4 linked regions of the Drosophila melanogaster genome follow. The protein of the gene in region 1 interacts with the protein of each later gene in a pairwise test. Each region holds a gene or a part of one and is shown on either strand. Other genes may lie near its edges.

Region 1 (5,524 bases):
GAGGCTCTAGCATCGCCAAAGAAGTCGGAGTCCACAGAGGAAGCACAGGAAAACGAGGTAGGGAAGGCCCAATAAGTCCAGAAAAAATTAACTAAATATTGTTTTTATCAAAAACGAAGGCACCAACTTCAACTTCAACTTCGCGTAAATCCAAAAAGGAACAGAAATCCGAGGAAGAGCCAACTCAAGTCGATTCAAAGGAAGCGAAGCAATCCAAAGAGTTGGTCAAAACGAAGAGACAACCGAAAGCCCAAAAGAAGCAGGCAAAGGCATCCGAATCCCAAGAAGAAGTTGCCGAAGATAAGCCCCCTAGCAGCCAGAAACGGAAGCGGACCACCAGATCCTCCACAGACGAGGCTACTGCCGGTGCCAAGCGGAGGAGGTAGTTGTGCCCAAAACAAAGCGTTCAGCAATAGAGCCCTATGATCGATGATTGGCAAATCCTCTCGAGGAACCGATCGTTGAGAACCCCTTTGCCTTTGTTGATCGCTCAATTTTGGATCAAAAACTACATACATGAAAAATACTCGAGCATTGTTATTACAAAATATATTAAAACATCTTAGAAACCTATTTCCATTTTTGTTTTTTTTTTTCATTCTCTTGTGGTTCATTTTTGTCTGATTTTTTGCCTCTCATTCGTTAAAATTTTGTGGACTTTGATTTTTCTTCCAAAATGTACATGTTTTCCTTTTTTGATCTTATTTCAATTTTGTCCCTTCTTAGTTAGTTAAAATTTGTTTTCGTTTTTAGCTCAGCTTAATAATTATGATCCTAGAGAAAAAATTTTGGTTTTACGAAATTGTTTTTACTTTTAGCTTCTTCTAATGCTAGAGATACCCTACCACTTGCCTAAATAGATTACAATCTGAATTGTCTCTTTTTTAACTAAAATTTTGGTTAAATAAAAAAAATTGAATATAATATGTGGGGAGGGGTGGGGAGCTAGGTGAAATAGTATTAAGAACATGCAGCAACAGAAACCGAGAGATTGCGATTAGGTGGAGAGCCAGTCCAAAAGGTGGACTTGCCTTAAGTAGAGTCGCAAATACAATGCATGCAAGTATGTATATATATATATATGTATATAATGTCTGTACACCCATATATATAATGTACAATATAATGCAATGGTCTGGCGAACTGCTCTAAGCAAAACTTCGGAAACCAGATGTGAAATATAGTCGTGTATTGCAAAACTATACATAGTTCAAATTGTGCTGTTTCACTTATGGCATAGATGATGCCCGAAAATAATTGATTACGAATTGCCTAACGATGACGAAAAAGGTTCTTTTTAAATTCATTGTCTAACTTATACAACGTTAATAATTGATGGCCTAAAGGGTTTCCTACATTACAAAATTGCTCGAAGAATATTTGCTACATCCATAAGTTTCCGCTCAAGTTATCCTATAGTAGAAGTTCACCAGTCCATTGCTAGTTTAAAAAACAACAATCAATTGGCTATGGGAACGTAAAGTTAAGAGAGGCGAAACATTGGAATTGTATTGGCTACGGCCTGGTGCGCGGTTCTGATCGTTATCCTGATTCTAATCCTGTTTCTGTCCCTGGTCCACAATGTATTTGTTTCCTTTCTTTCATTTCTTGCTTGGCTTTTATCCTTTTGTCGGAGGGGGGCAACAAACAGTGATCAACTAAGGCTTAAAAACTATATTTAAATTATGTGCGAAAAAGTAGGTCGATTCAATAGGCGAGAAAACATTGCGAAAAACAAGGCTTTGATTGATTACACGTCCAGTTAGTTGCTGATAGAGCGGTTACAGATACTTCCGATAGTTGCGCAGATGGGCGTTCGCGTCCTCGACCACGCCCACCGCAGCAGCGGCACTCTCGAAGGATGGTGGCTCGATGACCATGCCGGGACTTGTCGGATCGCAAGACGCTCCAACGGCGCTATTTGGCCCCTTGGCTCGTCGCCTGCCACGTGTTCCCGCTCCCCGCGATCTGCGGCTGTTGGCCGAAGCTCCCGATGCTCCTCCTCCGCCGCCGGATCCCGAAACTCCCGCTAAGCCTGCTCCCAGGCTGCCGCTTAGGATGCCTCCGCTGGAGATTGGTCCTCCATTGCTGCCTGGCACACTCTCGCCAGATTCAATGGCCTCCAGCGATGCGTCCAGCGCCGCATCCGTCGTTGTGATACGCGACCTGGCCGCTGCACTGCGTCTCCGCGAGCTGGAGCTACCGCCGGAATTGCCGCCACCGCCGGCGCCTCCTCCACCACCACCGCCGCCGGAATCTCCACCTCGCTTGCCTGGTCGCCGCTTGCGCCTTTTTTTGTTACCATAGCGCGGATCATAATCGTACTCATCATCCGCCGGCGATTTGGGCTCCTCCAGCGAGTCCACATCGTTCATATCCATGTCATCGTAGAACCACTCCTTGGGCAAAAGCTCCTCTTTGACGGCCTGCTGCTGGTGCTGGTGCTGCTGATGTTGTTGCTGTTGACTGTCCTTGCTGTCGGATGTATCACCGCCGGCGGCACCCAGCGAGCTGGACTCCTCCAGGCTGAAGGCTCCATTAAAATCGTGGGCAGTGTCACTGTGCAGGGAACCAAGTACGGCCGGCGCGGCTCCGCCGCCCGTAAGCATATTGAGCGTTAGGGAGGAGCTGCTGGCCAGGCTATTGCTGCCGGGCATGGAGCCCACACCGCTGGTCAGGCTGCTCAGTCCCAGATTGACGCCGCTGGCCACCAGAGCTTCGTGCTCCTTGCGTAGCGCCTGGAAGGGACGCTCGGGAAAGCGGCTGTATAAGTGGAAAGTTCGTTATTAGCAGGGATAAATATGGAGCTCACCCAACGAAAAATGTAGGATTTGATGAGATTGAATGGCATATACACAGATGATATTCTTCTAACCTAACTCGTTTTAAATAAGATTACCATAGGTAACAGACTCCTAGATTTCCAAGCTCTAATTTGCTTCGCCAGAGTTATACCTAACTTTTCCTTGTGCATGTGCCAGTCACTCAAATCCCGCACCGATTGGTTACGATTCCTCACCTGTACATCTTGCTCAAGTACTGACGACGGCTCTTCCGCCAGCGGGCCGCCGGATACGTGTAGATCTGGCCCTGCCGGAAGCCGGGCATCCGCTGTCGCTTGTCCAGGAAGAGCTGCGAGTGGTTCTGGGCGACGCCTGTCTGCGGATCGAGGAAGGGCAGCCGGTGGCGCCGTTCGCTGCACAGGCGCGTGTTGAAGTTGGCACTGTACTCGATCGTCTCCCGGTAGCTGACATCCTTCAGGAAGCTCTCGATCTTGGCCAGATTCGGCATAGAGACGATCTGGATGTTAACGGCGGAGGACATGGCTGTTCCTGGTCCTAATCCCACTGTTGGCTAACCTCAGAGTCCGGCTGTGCCGCTAATCCATCCCAGAGTCTTGGCAATTTCCGCTCCGCTCCGCCCCGTTTCTTATCGCAATTTTTTTCCAGTGTGTTGTGTTCCGTTTCTTATCGCTTTTCGCTGCCTGTTTTTTTTATTCTTCTTCGTCTTCCACCTCTCCTCTCGACCGACACATACACGCACGCACACACACACACACGCAAAGCTCTCTATCGATGTGACCCCGCGCCAGGGGGCGTGGGCGGCAGTGGGCGTGGCGAGGGCGATACGTTTAGATCGCGATCTGCGGCCGGATTTTCCAATTGTTTAATTGATCAGAAATATTAACGTCGTTTTCACTGCTCTGCTGAATGCCAGTGTTACCAGATGGCGACATGATTTTCCCCCCAAATGTTCTCGACCGACCGGTATTTTTGTCCTAAAAAATCCACTCTTTCGCTTTAATTTTAGCGATCAGTTTTCTTACCAATTTAAGGGCCTGTATAGGTCTGTTAGTTAATTTATGCATTGCAGTGCATAGCTATGTAATGGTATTTTCTAGTTTTAATTACAAGCCTATGTTACAGGGTTTTTGGTTAGTTTTCAAACATCGATAAGTTGTAAGCCAATCGATTGCCGGGCCCACGGTCATACAATAGAGATGGGCAACTGGCGATAATGCCTACCTACCTGTTACGCCAATTTCAAAATAGTAGTTTGTTATCTGGATCGGCACAGGCGACAAAAAAAACTAATATGTTTATATATACGTTATATATGGCTTTGGAAATAAATTACACAATCATATTGGTCAATCATTGTTTCAGCGCACGATGAGGAACTAAAATCTTCAAATTTAAAAGTACAAATTAAGATAAGTCATAGACTGCACAAATAAATAATTAGCAATTAATAAAATAGCTAAAAGAATATTGCACAGGGCAGCAGAGTGTTAACGATTTTCTTATCGATTCTCCTGTCAGCTGGCAACGCCAAAACAAAACAAAAACAAAATTAAAAGAGAAATCAAAACAAGGCAACCCGGTCATTGAAATTTCAGAAAATACTGCTTTGTTTGCGTTAACGGGAATGCTTTTTGCCCCGTAGATATGTATATATCACATAGAGGCACGGCTCACAGAGAACACCCACCAATCCAAACCATTTACATTTACCACTTAGATTAGCTGGTCTCGCAAACAACGGATAAGACTGTATATCAGCTGTACGTACGTACGGCTATTTGGTGATAAAACCGGCGCTATAGTTCCACTGCCACAAAGTAACAAAGAGAAGACTGAGCCGAACAACCTGCCATTTTGATACCGACGCCCCACCGAGATTAAAGCCCACTTTTCCGGATCCCATTCGCAGTTGTCCCACAACCTCAAGGCACTACAAATCGCAACAATAGCCAAATAAGTATAGGATTCCGACGATGTGCGTGATATTCTTTTGTGCGGACTCGAATCCGCAACCGGGTGGCTACAAGCTCATCCTGGCCTCCAATCGGGACGAGTTCTTTGCCCGCGCCACCCTATCGGCAGCCAAGTGGGCGAATGCCGATCATGTTTACGGAGGTAAGTGGTGGGGCTTATGCCCTTGAATGCCTATGCTTAGATGGAGTATAATCCTTGAGAGCTTGTATTCATCAAGATGTTACCTATAGTTTAGTCACTAAGATGATTTGATAGCAGTTTGTTAGAATGAACACCTCTCACAAGATCTGTTTCCCAGCAACCTAATTGGATTTCAAGCCATCTTACCCATGAGTGCGGGATCAACTTGAGTAAATATTTATGTATTCCCCCATTTCAGGGATCGATCTGGAGCCGGGACGCGAGGGCGGCACCTGGCTGGCGATCGGCCACTCCGCTGGCTTCTTTAAGGTGGGCGCCCTGCTCAATCTGACCGGCGAGCCCAAGCCACGCGATGCAGTTGGTAAACCCATTTGAGCTACTTACTAATCCAAATTGACGCGCACACACACGCACACACACTCATCCATACACCTAACACTTGGCCCGAACTAAAACTTTCACAACCGCGACCAAAGAAAAAGCAAAGCAAAAACAAACTTTCTTCGTTTCTGTTTTCTGTTTGAAGCGCACAAAAACATTTTGCAACCGCATAATCACAACAGCAACAGCACCGGCATTAACCTTTGCCCCAAGACCACCACCTC
Region 2 (4,629 bases), on another chromosome or scaffold:
TGTTTGCCATTTTCTTTTATACATTTTTGGTTTGCCCCGCATCGAAATGCTATTTTTTTCCATTTAATTTCATTTAGACTGCTGACAGCAGGCGCAAATATTTGGCATTTACCCGTACCACTGCCTTATGTGTTTTTCGCCTGACGAGTTTTTGGCGAAAAGTGCCACATATCCAAGGACCAGGATCAGAGGCCATTTATCATCGCCACATGCGGCGGCATGACCTTTCCGACGACATGTGAGTTAATTAATCTAACTGGCCAGACGGCCAAGGTCGTGCATCGCAATTAAACATGGCAGCTGATGATGAAGGGAATTTACCTTCGCGACCAGACGCATAAATTTCAATTTGCACCTATGCATTTAAATTGATGGCGATGGAGGTCCTGCAGCAGGACCAGCATGCTGCATATGCGAAATGCGAATAGTTGTTCGCGCCGCGCTTCAATGCGCAATTAGCGGACCATGGCCCATAAATTATTTGACCCGCCGGCGGGGGAAAATGGGAAATGGAAAATGGCGGACGGAAATGAATGCCCAGCAGGGCGAATAAACAGATGAGCGTGCAAAATTCGCCCAGCAATCCGAATCCGCTTGGGCCTAAAGTATGCACTTCAGGTAGTTGGGACAAGGACCAGGCTCAAAATGCGTAAACGAGATAACAGGCCCACAGATATATTGTTATCCATCACGTGACTGCAGTTGGAATCACGTGCTCAGTCCATGTTCAATGCCGAACTTCCGTAAGCGGGCGCAATCAAATTAACCTTGGCTCACGCGGCGTATGCGCAATATTTCAGCCATTTAAGCCCAGTGCTGTGATAAATGCAGCTAAGTGGCTTTGTTTGCTCCCAATGCGAACAAATTCGATCGACGTACAGCGTCTCATGCATTTTAAATATTCCGCCAATGCAAATGCCAATAAATCTCGGCTTTTGTCTCGCCCTCAAAGGCAATGCACCTTTGTTGAAAACTTTTGCCCAGCTCTGGGATGCTTTAATTATGCAGCCAGCAGCAGTCTCATTATGCCGAAGTGACATTTTTCAGCTGGACGCCAGAGTTTTTCGCCGAAATTGCAAACTTTATTTTTATTGCATTTTTAAACTTTGCCCTTAAGCGCCTGAAAGTTCAGGCTAAAATATTTATATTTGCCATCACGCCCCGCAAATACACTGTGCTGTTTGTATTCGTTTTTATCTTCTTGTGGTCCCGGCTAAGTAGAACTATTTGCAGCTGCTCCAGTAAACTTTTCCCACCTTCCAGGTCATAGAATCCCGATCCCAGGCCAGAGTTCTTTTGTGCCAACTTTACTTTATCCGGCATAGGGTCTATGCTTCTGGCCCGGCACGCCCAGCGTGTCCTGGCTAACAGGAGCCTTAACAGAGCGCTCGCTCTCTCTCTCTCTCTCTCTCTTTGCCTCTCTTTGCGAGTGTCCTGCTCTCACGGCCAAAGCTCCGCGAAGGTTAGACTTTGCTGTGTGTTTGCAGGACCTGCTGACTTTGCGCCGTGTGTGTTTGCGCTGGCCGAGGCTGTCGGCAAACTCGACGAGTCCTGCCACGTTTAAATACAGCACGCACAGACGTCTGGCAATTTATTCCAAGTTCGGCCGGCTTTTGTTGCACTTGGCTGCTGTGAGTAGTCGGCTCGCGATCTCAGCCAGAATCGCGTATTGTAATTGTTGCCGGAAGATGTGAAGAATTCGGTTTTTAACTTAAAGTGCACGGTAATGAGAAACAAAATGTTGCTTCTAGAGTTCAGAGTATATAAACCAACTATCTTTTTGTCTAAAAGAGGCTTGTGGAAATTATGGAAAATAATTAGTTTAGCTTTCATGATAAAAAACAACAAGCAAGCACATGCAAACTATATTCTTTTAGACTTATAATTGCCTCTATAAATTTAAATGAAGTTTTACCAAACAAAAAAGTTGGCCAATTATATTCGTTTGAAAAACTCTAAACACGTTTCTGCATCGTCATATATGGAGCTTTACTATCAAATACAGGACACCAAAATTGAAATAGTGCAAATTACATTACTATATAAAATTAAAAAAATAATAATATTTTGTAGATATTTTTTTTAAGTCGTTGGTAAAAATGTACAGTATTTAAAGAGCCGATGGTGAAATTGTAATGCAATAACATTCCATGGTCTCCTTCTTTTTTTTTTGGTCTCTATAAACTTCGTTTTCTATGTGGCTTTAAGGTCAAGCAATTTCAGCAATTGCAAAACTTTTTTAAATCAAAGCCAAAACAAAGGCCAAACAACGATTTCGTTATAAATTTTCCGGTCGAAGCAAACAACGTACACGCGTATATGAAATAACAATAACACAAAGTCTGGCAGTTTTAGTATGCTTGGCTCAGCTTTGAAAGCATCCCCGAATGCCATACAGCATATTTCAATTATCGTCTAAATTTGTTTTGCTCGTCATAAATCTCTTTCTCTTTCGACCATGTTTTTCAACCAGTGCAGCAAGGAGTCCAGACAAGGCGAACAAACTCTCGAGACGAGGTAAATACATGACAGCAATGAATGCGGATGAGACAAAGCTGGCTGGAATGCCTCAAGGAGCTGAGGAGGAGCAGGAACCGGAGAGGGAGCAGAAGAAGGAGAGCGATGGAGCAGCAGCTGCAGCAGGAGTACAGTGTGATCCTGATAGCAGAATAGTGGCTCCGCCGCCCAGGCAGCGGACTCTGACAAGGACGGCCGAACTGGACGCGGACTGCGAGGACATCGAGTTAGATGCCGACGATGGTTTGGACGATGCGGCGGATAGCATCACCTTGGAGTTGGCCCTATCGCCGCACAGCAGCGCCACGCCCACGCCCTCGCCCACCACCGCCGACGAGGATTTCGCCCAGCTGGACAACAGCAAGCCCTTCAAGGTGGGTATTCCACTCGCTACTCGCACATCCTTCATGTCCTTTGTGGCATTTAGCCACGCTACCTGGCGCCCCGTCATCTGGGCCAGCATTTCGTTAAGTGATTACTGCGGTGCTATTGTTACGCTTGATGGGTATATAGTAAAAAAAAAATAGAAAAAATTAAACTGAAAATGGAGGAAAAAGTTTGACGGTCAGGACGAACAAAGTGAAGGGTTCCCCGACGGAACGGCCACTTCAAAGCCTTCGGCGTTGAGTGGCATCATCGACATTGGCACTGCTGCTGAAGTGTTGCTACCGGTGCTTTATTCGCCCTTTAAGCATTCGTCCAACTTTTCAATTCGCTGCAAGAGTTGGTGCGGGAAAAAATCCGGGAAAACAGAGCTGTTTCCTTTTGCCCTACCAGCAGCCCACTCCGCACTGCCTTCACCATGGCAAACTCCATTTGATTGTGAGGATTGCGTGGCCCTGCCCAATTTGGAGCACAGAAAGAAATGATTAGGGTCACAAATAGTCGCTGTCAATTCTGCAAAGTTTACGAAACAATTTACGCATCCGTTTACCTATTTACGAAACTTTTAACTCTAAAAACTGTGTGTGAAAGATACAACACATCGACACTTGCAAGAATAAAACGATTCTGTTTAGTATTGATATGATTTAACTTAATTGAACTTGAATGTCCTTATTTTGATGATCCTATATCCAATTACCCACTTATAGTAAGCCATGCTCAGTAAATCACTAACACTATCAATACAATATAGTATAGACCATATTTCACCCTCTACTCAGATTAGCTTCTTGCAAATTTTTTGCCTGTGTGGCTGGTCAACAATGAAAATTTAATTAAAATGTTCAAACTGTTCAGTTGCATAGGGTAGTGGGATCAGGATGCGGGCGCCCAATTGTCTCGTATATCATTGTGGGCCAGCCAGCTGGCCAATCATCCAGCCATTCCGCCAATCGCCTCCAGTGCCACGCCCACATCTAAGCCGCCTTGTGGCGTCTGTGTGGGCGGCGATAACTATAAGTAGGTGTCTTGGCCACGCCAGCTGAACACCCTAATCGATGTATTGTGTGTTAACGGCATCAGAGCGATGGCCATAACAATATAAACTGGCCAAAAGATCGGCGTCTACGAGATATCAAGTGGCTGTAAATTTGCCAGGCGAAAGCAATTAATTGACGGCTTGACGTGGCCGAAACGCGATGTCATTTGTCAGTGGCAACCGACCGGTGATGATGATGATGATGGGTGAGCGTGGGCCACGTGACGTATGCGTAATTCATGCGCATTCCAGCTAATTAATAAGCCTCCATCTTGTCTGCCATCTGACACGGGCATCTTCTTTATCGAGCTCTCGGGGAAATTGCCAAGGTTCTGATTAAAAACACTGGATGATATAATCCTGGAGATATAATCCCTTTGACTAATTCCAGAAACAACTAAATGAGAGTGAAAATTAAGGAAAGGGTTGGTAGTCAGAGGCCAACACATGAATGCGTGAGGTAGGGTTAATAATATCCTGTGTTCACGTATTGGCCCTTAGGTTCTTCTCGGTATGAAAATAATTTGCATCTCTTCTACTTAATATCAGATAGTTCAATTAATTCGATGGTTACCATGACTGATTTGCAGTTTGGTTTACTCACAAGGTTAAATTGGTTTAGATCTACCGCTGAACTGAAAACTCATAGCAGTGCTGCCACACAGAAAGACATTTTTGACTTGAAAATA
Region 3 (4,916 bases), on another chromosome or scaffold:
AAAAGAGAGTCGATTTCCTCGGCTATCTGATACCCTGTACTCAGCGTTAGAGTGGGTAAGATGCACAATCTCGCCGTTTCTAGAATCTGCATTCTTAATATCAATGTTCAAAAAATATAGGGTCGAAAACTCATCCTTCTAACTGATACAAACTTTTCAACGAATGTTGTATACCCTTAACTCTAAAAGTAAGCGGTATAATTAAATACATGCATACATTTTTATAGCATTAATCGTTTATGTGCAACAATTTGATTTATTAATCTCATTACATTTTATTGGAAAAAATCAGACCAAAACTCCATAAAGTCAATCAGCAAAAGTGCCGTAAGGCAACCAAATAATTTAATCGACGGCATGTTATGGATATTTTATTTCTCTGTTCATTATAATGAGTTGATTAAGAGCTAGAGTAAACTTTCCAACCTGGCTAGACTCTGGTCAAGGAAAATTAACTTCGAGTGCGAAGTGTGGGAGGATGAAATGTACGCAGTTTATGATTGCCTTCACGCCTGTCTGGTCATTAGCCTAGGCACAACTTTGCCCCGAAAAAGCACATTTGCGGTCCCCGCATCCCTTGCTTTTTGTTTTCTTTTTTTTTATTTTGCATTTTCAGTAGTCCACAAATAAAACTTTTTTTGTTTGTTTATCCATGATGAGGGTTTGACAGAGATTGCTGTGATGGGGGGGAAGTGTAGGGCCAGAGGTCCTAAAGCATAAACAGATCAATAAAACAAGGCGAAGAAGAAAAGCCGACAGGACGACAGCCACAAAACTAGCTGAGGAATTCGCCCAAAAGAGGCCAAGAAATAACAGCGTCAACTGGCGCAGTTCCCATGCAAATTTCTCCAGACCCATGTATCTGCAACACCCCCGTCAGAAGAACCCAAGAACCCCATGGAACGGTGCCCATGGAACCCAGAGGCACCACGAGGACGACACTCTCCACGCCCATTAACTGTTGCCCGTCTATTTGTTTGTACAAATAATGTGTAAGCAGGCATATTTTTGTCAACGAGGCTAATTTCTGTCACAGATTTACGTGACAATGGCCCAGGCAAGAAGCTAGAGCCCAGAAGGCGCTGGGAAAGCCAAAGAAATCCGCATCAACACGCATACTCGGAATAAAAACACAACAATTACAAAACAGGTTTCATCCAGTGGGATGGGTTGGTGGGTGGTGGGTGGTGGGTGGCTTTGGACAAGTCTGGCAGTTTTTGGTCGAAATATTTTCGTTTCTTCTGCTGTCAGTGAAGTTGGTTATTCGTCGTCGTCGTTTTGCGGCCAGTTCGTAAAAGCCATAAAAAGAAATGTACCAAGCAGCAGTAGACAAAATAAAAAAAAAGAGGAGGCCCAAAACAAAACTGAGCTGTGAAGAACCAGCGTCGAAAAAAAACTGGGTTAGCTTGCGTACTCCCCCCAACATTCCCCATATTTCCCCACCTCCGTTCCATTGTTGCTCCTCGTTGTTTCTTTTTTTTTAGCACCTATGCACCGTTTTTGCGATGCACCCTGCTCCTGTCCGTCTTGGTTATTGTTGTCCAAGAAACTCAATGTGTGACACATATGCAGTCGCCACTCCCCCTGCCACCCACCGACGCCCACTCACCCACTCTGCCACTGCCACTGCAACACTACACCTCCAGATTTTTCTGCGCGTTCCACTTTTTCTTTCCATCATCTTAAAGACCAAAGACACAGATCCAAAAAATGTAGTGGTTGAGAAAAGTTTAAAACACTTATACTTTGTCTTTTAATCCTTCCTTCGAAAAAAATCTTTGTATGAACATTTATATTTCATTTGTATATACGTAGTTTCCTATTGTTTGCTACATATAAATGGCGATAATTTTTGGGAACCAAATTTGCAACCAAACTAAAATTGATCTAAAATTGTTAAAAACCACACATGTGTTTATATATTTTATTTGCCAAATCTACAGACATTTCGACTAACTCTCAGCTGTTATTTTAGTTGTTTGTCAAACAGCTGTTAGTTTATCAATAGCTCTCAATAAAACAAACTATCATTGCAAGTGTATGGTACCCAACATTTGCTTGTTAAATTAAAACCTTAAGCAAGTCCAACCTGATCCATGAACCAATCGAAATTGCATCCAATCCCTTGGACGGCAATGTAAATAGCCCGAGACATTTTCCCGATGCCTCAGCCGATCTGTGGAAACGCCAGTGAAGCGGCAGGATGCACTGGCCTGGCCATCAGAATCGGTGATTGACGCTGATACGTTTGCCACATTTAATTGGGAGAGTGGGTGGATCGCCACCCATCATCCGTCCACCACCCATCATCCACCCCCCGTCGAGGTTGTTTATTGACTGACAAGTGCTGCACATCCGGGCTGCGTTTGCGGAAATGAGCAAATGACTAATGACTGACCAGAGCGAAGGCACCCAAGGCGACGAGTGACCCTTGCCCACTCTGTTTTCTGTTTCTCCGCTTCTGTTTCTTGTTTACTGTGCGCTTCAATTAAAGCATCTTGCAGGAAATTGAACTTTTAGTCAAGTGCCTGGTCGAGTGAGTGGCTGGGAGTTGGAGGAGGAGGAGGTGGATGAGGATGATGATGTGGGGGGGCCAAGTGAGTGGGTGGTTCTTTGAGACAGCGACGGCGACTTGCTCATCAATCTGTTACGTACTTGACTTGTGGGTGGGTTCGTAGGTCGGCGGCTGTTCAGGGCTTGAAAAGCGTATCCGTATCCAGTTGTTGCATGTGCCTAGGCTACTTTTCTCTCCTTCGTTTGCTCTTTCTGCTTTCGTGCCACTTGAGTTTTGATTACTGATCACTTCACTTTGCAATCACCGCTTGATTACTTTTGGTATCATAAGCACTGCCGGATCTCCCTCGACCGATACGATCTCTGGTTAATGCTTCGCGGCTATCAAAGCCTATCTATTTGTGGTCACCATTTCGCGATTTTATCTAGCCGGCTAGAGGTACGAAATGTTGCCGTTGCACCAGCAACATCACTATACGGGCTGCCACTTGTGGCAAAAATGATAATCGGCGATGCTCACGCGCCAAATTACCAACGTGGACTGGCACATCCGTGCCACATTATGCGCATTTTATGGCACGTTGGCGACCTCGACACTCGCTTCGTTTTTAGATCACCCGAAGGCGAGGCATGCAACACGGAAATTGTTGTCCTAGGCGCAACAGACCCAAAAACCGAAGCCCCCGAAGTCAGTTGACACGACCCATGCCGCTGGTGCGAGAGCCCCAAAGCCCGAAGACCCACGATTACCGGAGCATCTGGGCATGCGCAGTGACTGAGCCGGAATTAGTATGCTATCTGGCAATGCTCTGTCATCAGGCGGAGTATTCAAAGAAATTCTAAACTGGACAGTGACTTGATGGGGGCAAAGACGAAGATGGATGTACAATAGGTGGATGGTGGGGGTGAGGTGCGGGAGATGGGCGACCGACCGGCCAGATTCAAGTTCAGGTCGCCCTTTGACCGCAAAATTCCGGCGGCCAGCTAATAAACTCCAGAAGAAGCCAAATTTGTTGTTCGAATTTATTGTGGAACATTCTTTCCAACTAACCCACAACTAAGACTGATAAATGGCCAAGCATACTGGCAATTTGCAAGTTTCTGACCGTTTTTAGAGCACTCAGTTAACCCCAAAAGTTTTATATGCCTCATCTAGGTGCGGCCCATTTCGGTCCTCTTACCCAGCACAGCTCCTTTTGCTGTTTTTAATCTACAATATTAGCCGGTAGTGATGTTTCAATTAATTTTTAAGGTGCACCCCAAACTGCCCAAGAACCGAAGAGCATAGAGATGGTTAAAGATATAAAGATGGAGGCTTTAAGATGCAAAATGGGGGCAGAGAACTCCGGACGAAGCCAGAACCGCATGCTAAGATATGATGGCAGATGCCAAGCAGGATGAATAAATGGCTTGGATGCAAAGTTTAAATTTTTCATAGTTGGGTGGCTCGGTTTGGTTCGCTTCGTTTCGTTTCGTTTGGGTTTGCTTTTCTGGGGCTTGAGTGGCAAAGTAAAATGTTCCTCATATTTGTCTTCTTGAGGTTTTCATCGGTCAAACTACGGAGCAATTGGACTTGTAGCACTAGCAGTAGATTATTTCATTAAGGCGAAACTAAGTTATGGTTAAAAATCATATCATATACCCTTTTTAAAACTCCCAAATGAAATAAACATCAAAATAGTGGACAAACAGCAATTGAACTATTTTTGAACTATTTATTTCTTAAAAGAAATATATTTAATTTATATAATTCAATTGAAAACATTTTATTTGGCTATTTACACATTTTAACGCCCATCTCACAGAACCCAGACACGGTTTTTACGAATTCTAAATACATTTAAAAGAAGTTAAAATCGGGTAAAAAACATTTCAAACATAAAGCTCACGGTCAAGATTATTCTTCTTTCGTCGGCACTTTTCATTTTCCAGAGCACAAGCGCTAGTTCCCTCAAAGTAACATTTGCCATCATAATTGCAGGTGGGCAAGATGCATTTTCCGCACGGCTTATTGCAGTTTTCTCCCCATGCAATTCCGATTAGCATACAGGCTGTTTGATTAACAATAAGAATGATCAAAATATTTAGAAAATCTTTAGCTTACCCAGAATAACTAAGAAAAACAATTTCATAATGATAGTAGCCGATTATAACTGACTTAAACAGTCTCAAGTACATTGCATTTTATTGGTTATATTGGTTAAGGTTAAATGCGTTAAAAAAGCATTACAATCCAATTAAATTTTGTACGAGATGGTATAATACGTTTAGTACATGTTAAAAATGAATGTGCGATTGACTCTAAACTTATTTTAGTCAGAAGAAATAGCTAACCGGTAGTCCACTAAATTCATTCATTCAGCTTGAGAATTTTCGGGTTAACTAAACTCATTAAGGTAAAA
Region 4 (7,891 bases), 2.9 Mb from region 1:
AGCTGGCGGTAAGTTGTCAAGTAAAGCTAATCAATGCACATCGTGTTTAACAAATTGAACGATTACATTGCAGAAATTCAAAATACGCATTGAGGATCCACCGCGACGCAAGGATATGGTCTTTATCGGCGGAGCTGTTCTGGCGGAGGTGACAAAGGATCGCGACGGCTTCTGGATGTCCAAGCAGGAGTATCAGGAACAGGGTCTCAAAGTATTGCAAAAGCTGCAAAAGATCAGTCACTAGAGGCGGATGGATGCGAAATCAGTGTGTGTGTGTGTGCGGACCGCAAGAAATAGGATAAAAAAGTGATAGATTTCTTTTCTCTATTTTCTATAGGTTTAAACCTTTCAGATTTACGTGATATATCCGTCTATATATGTTTTTTTTTTTGTGTGTGCCTGTGCGAGTGGGCGTGTCTGTTGAGCAGGATTGGTCCACTTGCCCTTAGATTATCTATAATCGCAGACATGTCGTCACTGGTCGTTATCCCCGTACAATATAATGTAATATTTCTTTGAGCGCGAAAACTTTAATTCGATAGTCGCCTAAATTGTGTAACCCTGCATTAGTGTGTTTAATTGTTTATAATTACGTCTAAAATTCAAACCCAAAAGCCCTTTTCTTTAATGAATACGCATATATAACTATATATATATACATATATAAATTCAAAGCACCTCGAGTGCGGCGATATTTTTGTAAACGCAAAATGTTTCATTTCCAGCGAGTATTTCACATTAAGTATTAACTAGGCCAAGTCTGCTAGTAGCAGCTACTAAAATCGTGTGTGTGTTAAGACAGAGACAGAGACAGAGGAAATATAACGAGGAAGTTGCATAGCACAGAAGGAGAAAGCGCGAGTTCGGTCGTTAACTAAATACACTGATTGATTCGATCCCGTCTCGCCTCCCGACACTCGACCTTAAAGTAAGCATTTCTGGATTGTCTCCAACTAGATAAAGATGAAGTTACCTACCCATAAAGATACAGATAATCGAAGTCACAAGATTACGCATTTACGTTGCCCCATAATCGAAAGTACCATCAGTCGAAGTGTTAAATTTGATTTAATTTCCTTACCTGCCTTTTCTAGTTAGTTGCAATTTGATGATTGTTGGGGTCGCAACTATCGGCATATGATGAATAGTATATACATATACATATGTGTGATCCATATACATATATCCGTATATGTAAAATGAATGTGGAATGCCAATTATGTAAGTGAATGCAATAAACGTAATTATGTATGATGTGTACTGTATACTGTAGTCTAAAACTAAATCGCATACGACTTTTTTATGGTTTTTTTTTTGCCAAATTAAAAACAAAACAAAAATGACAACAAGAGAGCATGCTATAGTCGAATTCCCCGACTATCAGATACCCGAAAAGAGTTGTTTGGCAAATGGATAGAAATTTAAGAGACTAATAAAAATATGAAAAAATTCAAAACTTTTTTTTAAAAGTGAGGGCATGCCCGTTTTGGGCGGTTTGTGGGCGCGGCAACATGGGTCAACAAACAGTTCTTGAGATCTCGACTTTCATGCGGACGGACACGTCCAGATTGACTCGGCTATTGGTCCTGATCAAGAATATATATACTTTTATATGGTCGGAAACGCTATTGATCGTGATCAAGAATATATATACTTTTATGTGGTCGGAAACGCTTCCTTCTACTTGTTACATATATATGTAATTACCAACGAATCTCGTATACCCTTCTGGTCTATAGTAAGTGTTTTGTATTCTTGTTTCTTTCAAATAAATTTTTAAATTACTTTTGCCTGCATAATAAAATTTCAGTTGGCAACAATGGCCTTAGCGAATGCACCTTCCACATTTAGCAAATACGCCTAGCCTTACAGTTTAGCGAGTATATGAACCTCGTGTAGACAGCGTTGCCCCTTTCGATTAACATCGATTTACAGTAATCGGGTTCAGCTGTTGTTCGTTGCAACTTTCAAGCTAAATTAAAATAAATCGAAACCGGCAAAAAAAAGGAAATCGACTTGACATAGCATTGCCATGAATTAAGTGCTGCAAAATGGATATAATATTTTCTCAGGATGTGCACGATGAACAAAAGTTTCTGGATTGTGCGAGGAAACTAGAGTACGACGAGTTTTCGGCGGTAAGGACTTGCTTTGTACATAAATCCTTATGCACACGTTTTCATTGCTTAAATCTTGGTTTTATAGAAAATGTTTGTATTCTGCAATAAGCACAGCGCTTTGGATGTGTTTGAGCTAATGGGCGATGACCGGTTGTCGCAGTTACTCTACGGATGGGAGGTGTGCCACCTGCCTACCAGGGATTCCGAGTCGCTAAAGGACCCAGCGCTGCGTCACATGGTCAGGGTTTTGGTCTACCACTCGCTGCTGATGTGGTTTAGCCAAGAGTGGAAGACCTGCTCCGAAGGCCTCAAGCAGCTTTTGCTCTACACCCTCACCAAAGCAATGCCGGCATTCCATCAGATTGGTGAACTGGCCAATATCAACTGGTCGTACGTTCTGCAGTTCCAGACGAAGCCCTGGAGCCTGCCCTACCTGCATCAGCTATTTCTTAACCTGGAGCTGAATAAACAACACGGCATCGAACACAAAGTTCAAGCGGCATCAGGAGAAGGTAAGCCATTACTAATTTTCGTCAAGGATTCATCTAATCATTGCCTTATTTCTTAGATGTTGCTTTCCTCATGCAGGAAGGGGTATCTCTGGCCCTGCTGCGACTAATCCAGCTCTTTAACGCCGGCAACTTTGAGGCTGTAAAACAGCTGGCGCTTCGGATGCTAGCTGCTTGGCTGAAAATCCACGAAAATGCACCATTTGTGTCCTTTAAAGGGGATGAAAACACAATTACACTAATCGGTCATGTATGCCTCTTGGCCGCTTTTGTTAGGGATGATAATCAAGGCTTTGTGATTGATAATTTGGTAAGGAAAACATTCATCATGTAACTAACATAACAAAACTAAATGTCGTCATAAAACCACCTCGTAGATGTACAACATAGGGTTCTATGTCCAGATCATGGAGGAATTTTCGAGCTCACATGATATTAACTTTACGCCAGCTCGGCTTATTGCCCGCGTTTGCGTCCGTCTTCGACTCGGAAAGAATGCGTTTTTTGAGAAAATTGCATTTAGGAAATTCAATCTATGTATGGTCACTTCATTTGCCGTCATACTAGATGCCTACTCCAGCTATGTGCTGGGAAATTTATTGATGGATCTTCAGTCGCTTAACGAGCACGATTTCCTGGAGCACCTGCCACAGTTCAAAAAGCTAATGGATCGCTATGTAGAGGAGCGCGAGAGCAGCGAGCGCTTTCTTCTAAACGAGCTCAAGAAGATGGAACAACAGCGAAACAGCTGCATTGAACCGCATCTAGTAAACCTAATTCTCAACTACAAGCAGCAGATATGCAAGGGAAATCGAGCCAGCAACATAAGCAACTACAAGAACAGTGATGACGACGAAAAGATTCAGCCTGAGGTGGGCGAAGAACAAGATAGACAAGTAGATCCGGTTTTTCAAAATGTACCAAACAATGAGGAAGTTTTGAGCTTTGTGTACAAATTGCTGGCAGAGCGGGTAAGTGATGAGAACTAACAAAAGCGAAAACTTTACTAAGCACCGCGCTTTTTTAATTTAGAATTTTTCAGGCTGGAGATTTGCTAAGATTGCTCTGCTGCTGAAAATTATTGGGCAACAAATAAATGCATTAGAAATGTGGAGATATCATCCCGGGTTAACCGTTGATTTTATGCTCGATTTGGAGCAAAAGATGTCTGCAAACTATGCTGACCTAGCCAAATTGTTCTCTGACCATGGATTTATGGAGGCAGAATTCTGGCTGACTGCTTTCTACCTCCACCCCACATCATCAAATTATAACGAAGTAAAGCGCTGTTCGTGGATCATGAAAAATCGACAGGAGGAGGGCGGGCTCCCTGCTCCAGCGATTGGCAACGTCAAGTACGAACTGCTGAGCTCCACCATCGATGTGCACCAGATTATGACCATAACAAACCATGAAGATCCAGTGTCCGACTACGATCCAATAAACGAGTCGCTGAAGGCGTTGCGTCTACCCAGCAACATGACCAAGGATCTTCTGACCGTGGTCTTCCAACCGCGACATAAACAATACTCATGGGCTCTCGATTGGCAAACGCTAGACGAGCGTTGCAGTGCCCTACTCAAAAGCCAGGACCTGAAGAGAAAATTTGTGTCTCTTAACATGGCCGAATCATGCGACGACTTGAAGTATCTCCAGATCGACTATGCCAAGTACAGGGATCGACCACAGTTGGACTATGGCACCATAGAAGAGGGCTACGAAAATGAGACTAATCTCTCGAATGCAGCTGGAAAGGCTGAATCAACACCAGCAGTGCATGATAAAGCAGAGAAAGCCAAGGAGCTGAAAATGCGGCGACACGCAAAACGCAAATGTTGGTATGAAGGTTAGCAACGAAATCTTTTTTCTTTGAGCAACTTTCATATAAGATTAGATTCAGTCAAACTAATGAATTGAATTTTAAATCCCACAGTTTCGGAAGACGAGGAAGAGGCTGCCTCAAGTGATTCGGAGCCCAGCTACACAGGAAATGGCCGCCGAACACAGATTAGAGCCGCAGCCATTGCATCCAAAGCTAATGGTCGCCGGACTGGGATTAGAGCCGCAGCCATTGCAGCCAATATCAAATTGTCTGAAATGTCCTTTCCAGAGACATCGAATAGGCGCTTTTCTACACAGCCCGTCGTCAAGGAACAGCCAAAAATCGCCGTCCAGCCTAAAAAACAAAAAACAGTATTGTTTTCGAAAGAAGAGGATGAGGTTTCCTCAAGTGATTCGGAGCCCTGTTACACAGGAAATGGCCGCCGGACTCAGATGAGAGCCGCAGCCATTGCAGCCAAGGCCAAATTGTCTGAAATCTCCTCTCCAGAGACATCGAATAAGCACTTTTCTACACGGTCCATCGTCAACGAGCAGCCAAGAATCGCAGTCCAGTCTCGAAAACAAAAAGCAGTAATGTTTTCGAAAGACGGGGATGAGACTTCCTCAAGCGATTCGGAGCACTGCTACACCAGAAATGGCCACCTGAATCGGATTAGAGCCGCAGCCATTGCAGCCAAAGCCAATTTGCCTGAATTGGATCGAAAAGTGAGCGGTGGGCGACGATCGATCTTTCCAGAGGCATCGGGTAATCACTTTGTTACACAGCCCGTCGTCGCGGAGCAGCCAAAAATCGCAGTTCAGCCGCAAAATCAACAAAAGCGTACAATTGCCGAGCTGATGAAGTCACGACCCATGTTTACCAACGAAACGAAAGGATTTAAGCCGATCGCCGACATATGGAGTTTCAGCAAGGAAGAGCTAGAGAATGTGGTTAGCGGGCCCAACGACATGATAGAGTGCAGCTCGATTATAGCCAAAATGAAGTTATTGAAGGACCTCAAAATGGCGAAATCTGCAAAAGCAGCCGGACAGCCATGTTCACAGCTCGTTCGCACAGGATCAGAAACTGAAAGCGTGAATTCCGAAACTTCCACGATGGCTACACACGAATTTAACGAGAAGGGGACCACTGTAGGTTCCCCCGGTGAAGGTAAAGAGCAAAAAACACCTTCGCCGACCGCAAACTCCGAATTAAGCACTGAAACAGAAGTGTTGAAGCCCACCGATGAGACTGAAGCGCATATGATCCATGACGCCCTAAAAACTACAAACGTGCCACAGAAGACTCTGGACTTACAGTTCTTGTCCAAGAAGCACATAAGAACTGGATAACAGACCCAGGAGTCCCCAGGAGATGTCATAGAAACTAGTGATCTCAAACAGGTCCCCCTAAATAGCCTGTTCAAAGTAGAGGGACTGGATGCAAGACAGGCGACAGGAAAGCCAAAAAAAAAGGAACAAACGGAACAGGATCTGCCAAATACTAGAAAACACAAAGATAAGCTTCACATGCAACGCCATTTTTTTTTTTTTTGTTATTTCTTTACTTACATATATACCATAACTACGTAACAATTTATTATACAGCCTCGATGTTAGTAGAGATGTGAAACCGGATAAGGTACTGCCGCAAAGCATTGCTTCGCATTAGGGGCACCAAAGATTTGGAACCTCACGATCTTGGTGCTTTCCGGAAAAGCAAACTGTAGAGCCATGTGAGACTCCGGACATGAACCCGAACTTTCTGGATCTCGATGTCGATTCGAGGACAAGCACCCGATTGCTGAAGTAGCTACCTACGGCGTGCAGCAAGTAACCTGCTACCTAAAAACCAAGTGACCGTGGAGATCGCGTCCAGCGTCGACAATTCTTTCCGGAATCCGTACTGGTTTGTAGAAAGTCCCCATGCAGCCGATATTGCTGTGTTGAGCCTCGCCGCGATCACCTTCTCGAAGGCAGATGGGTCTTTACGAGAAGGGTTCGGCAGGGTGCTTGCCTTGGTTGCCTTCTATGGGATCCGATCGGGTCCTGATTTCTTTCTGGTTTTGAGGCTTCTCGCAGCCGCCAGAATCTTGGGCTACGTGACCGGCCGCAAGTGGTCAGCTTGACACGTCTCCGCTTATCTGCCAAGTGGTAATGGTCTCCTCCAACTTCGCTGCCATTTTATCCGCTGCTGCGTTCGCCCAGTCTGCCTCGTCGATTGTCAGCTAGTGAAGAGAGCCGTCTAACTCCTTCAGTCTCATGGTGTCCTGTCGGTAGGCCGTATGAGGCTGCTTCCTGGCTGTCGAGTGCTCTTGTGCCGATTTCGACCTGGATCTCAACCTCTGATCACCTCTACCTTCCCGCATATGGCTGCTATGCTTGTTCGGTCTAAAACCCACTTGTTACTGGCCTTAGCCTTGTACGGCTCGCAGAGGAGAGCCACCTCTGTCTTTAGATCGCGATCGGTCTAGGTAAGCCACCCAGCATCCAAAGATTCAAATTATGTTTATGGCGAGCACCTCGACATCCGGAGGGGCATTGTTTGCTACCTTTATGCTTCGTGCTCTTCTTGCCTTCAACTTGCCCCCTTATCCATGCAGTTCCGTGTTAGAAGCAGAAACTTTCTTGATCATTAAAAGGACCATAAACACAACAAACATATTAAAAGAGTTTAAAAAGCCCAACGCAAAGTATCGAAGTGCAATTAAAGAAGCTATCCAAAAATGAAAACTGTGATATCCTAAATTCTCCAACATTCCTCTAGATTATAAAGTTAGCTTAGTCTTTCCTAAATTAAAGTCACAAAAACTGCTACAAGACTACAACTTGACTAACAAGAAGATTGCTCTCTCTCCAAAGGGCCACCTCTCTATAATATCATTGAACTTTTCCCGAGCCTTTGACAAAATAGGTATCCGCTTCCTTATACACCAATTAGGTCTCCTTAATTAACCTTTCCTCACCCTTTTGAACAATATAAATCAATGTTGCACTTTCTCAGGTGCGGCTAACTTTCAATAGACAAGTGCAAATAAATACAAATGCAAACCAAGACAAGAGAGAGTGCTTTAGTCGAGTTCCCGACTATCAGATACCTGTTACTCAGCTAGTGGAAATGCGAAAAAGAAATTTCATCATTTTTCTGTGATATGAATAGATTTTAGGTAATTGGGTAATATTAATAGGTGAGTTTTTTCAAAAGTGTGGCCGCTTCAGTTTTGGGCGTTAAAGTGTGTCGTATCAAATCGTTAAAAAATTTACAAGACTAATAAAAATATACAAAAATAACAAAGCATTTTTCAAAACTGTGGCCGTGACAGATGTGGGCGTGGCAACATGGGTCTGGAAGATGCATGCTTAATCTTCAACATTCTTGCTTTTATAGCTCCCAAGATCGAGACGTTCATGCGGCCAGATTGATTCGGCTATTGATCCTGA

The links.
Region 2: the proteins of tth (region 1) and Drep3 interact in a two-hybrid assay, tested with the Drosophila melanogaster proteins (one large-scale study listed by BioGRID).
Region 3: the proteins of tth (region 1) and CG4168 interact in a two-hybrid assay, tested with the Drosophila melanogaster proteins (one large-scale study listed by BioGRID).
Region 4: the proteins of tth (region 1) and CG9902 interact in a two-hybrid assay, tested with the Drosophila melanogaster proteins (one large-scale study listed by BioGRID).

The regions. Positions count from the first base shown.
Region 1 is NC_004354.4:13,612,657-13,618,180, forward strand, and holds tth (toothrin), read right to left. Parts: upstream 3,931-5,524; 5' UTR 3,325-3,930; coding exon 3,020-3,324; intron 2,764-3,019; coding exon 1,782-2,763; 3' UTR 537-1,781; downstream 1-536. Other genes in the region: Tango2 (transport and golgi organization 2), read left to right, coding at 4,778-4,919, 5,158-5,280, 5,446-5,524.
Region 2 is NT_033778.4:12,053,496-12,058,124, forward strand, and holds the start of Drep3 (DNA fragmentation factor-related protein 3), read left to right. Parts: upstream 1-1,593; 5' UTR 1,594-1,723; intron 1,724-2,473; exon of another isoform or gene 2,474-2,478; 5' UTR 2,479-2,525; coding exon 2,526-2,891; exon of another isoform or gene 2,892-3,052; intron 3,053-4,629.
Region 3 is NT_033779.5:15,197,419-15,202,334, forward strand, and holds the start of CG4168 (uncharacterized protein), read right to left. Parts: upstream 3,042-4,916; 5' UTR 2,656-3,041; intron 1-2,655. Other genes in the region: Sfp35C (seminal fluid protein 35C), read right to left, coding at 4,289-4,344, 4,404-4,565, 4,619-4,646.
Region 4 is NC_004354.4:16,541,595-16,549,485, reverse strand, and holds CG9902 (uncharacterized protein), read left to right. Parts: upstream 1-1,965; 5' UTR 1,966-2,051; coding exon 2,052-2,138; intron 2,139-2,205; coding exon 2,206-2,632; intron 2,633-2,688; coding exon 2,689-2,939; intron 2,940-3,006; coding exon 3,007-3,600; intron 3,601-3,661; coding exon 3,662-4,475; intron 4,476-4,562; coding exon 4,563-5,803; 3' UTR 5,804-7,362; downstream 7,363-7,891. Other genes in the region: Arp2 (Actin-related protein 2), read left to right, coding at 1-8, 74-244.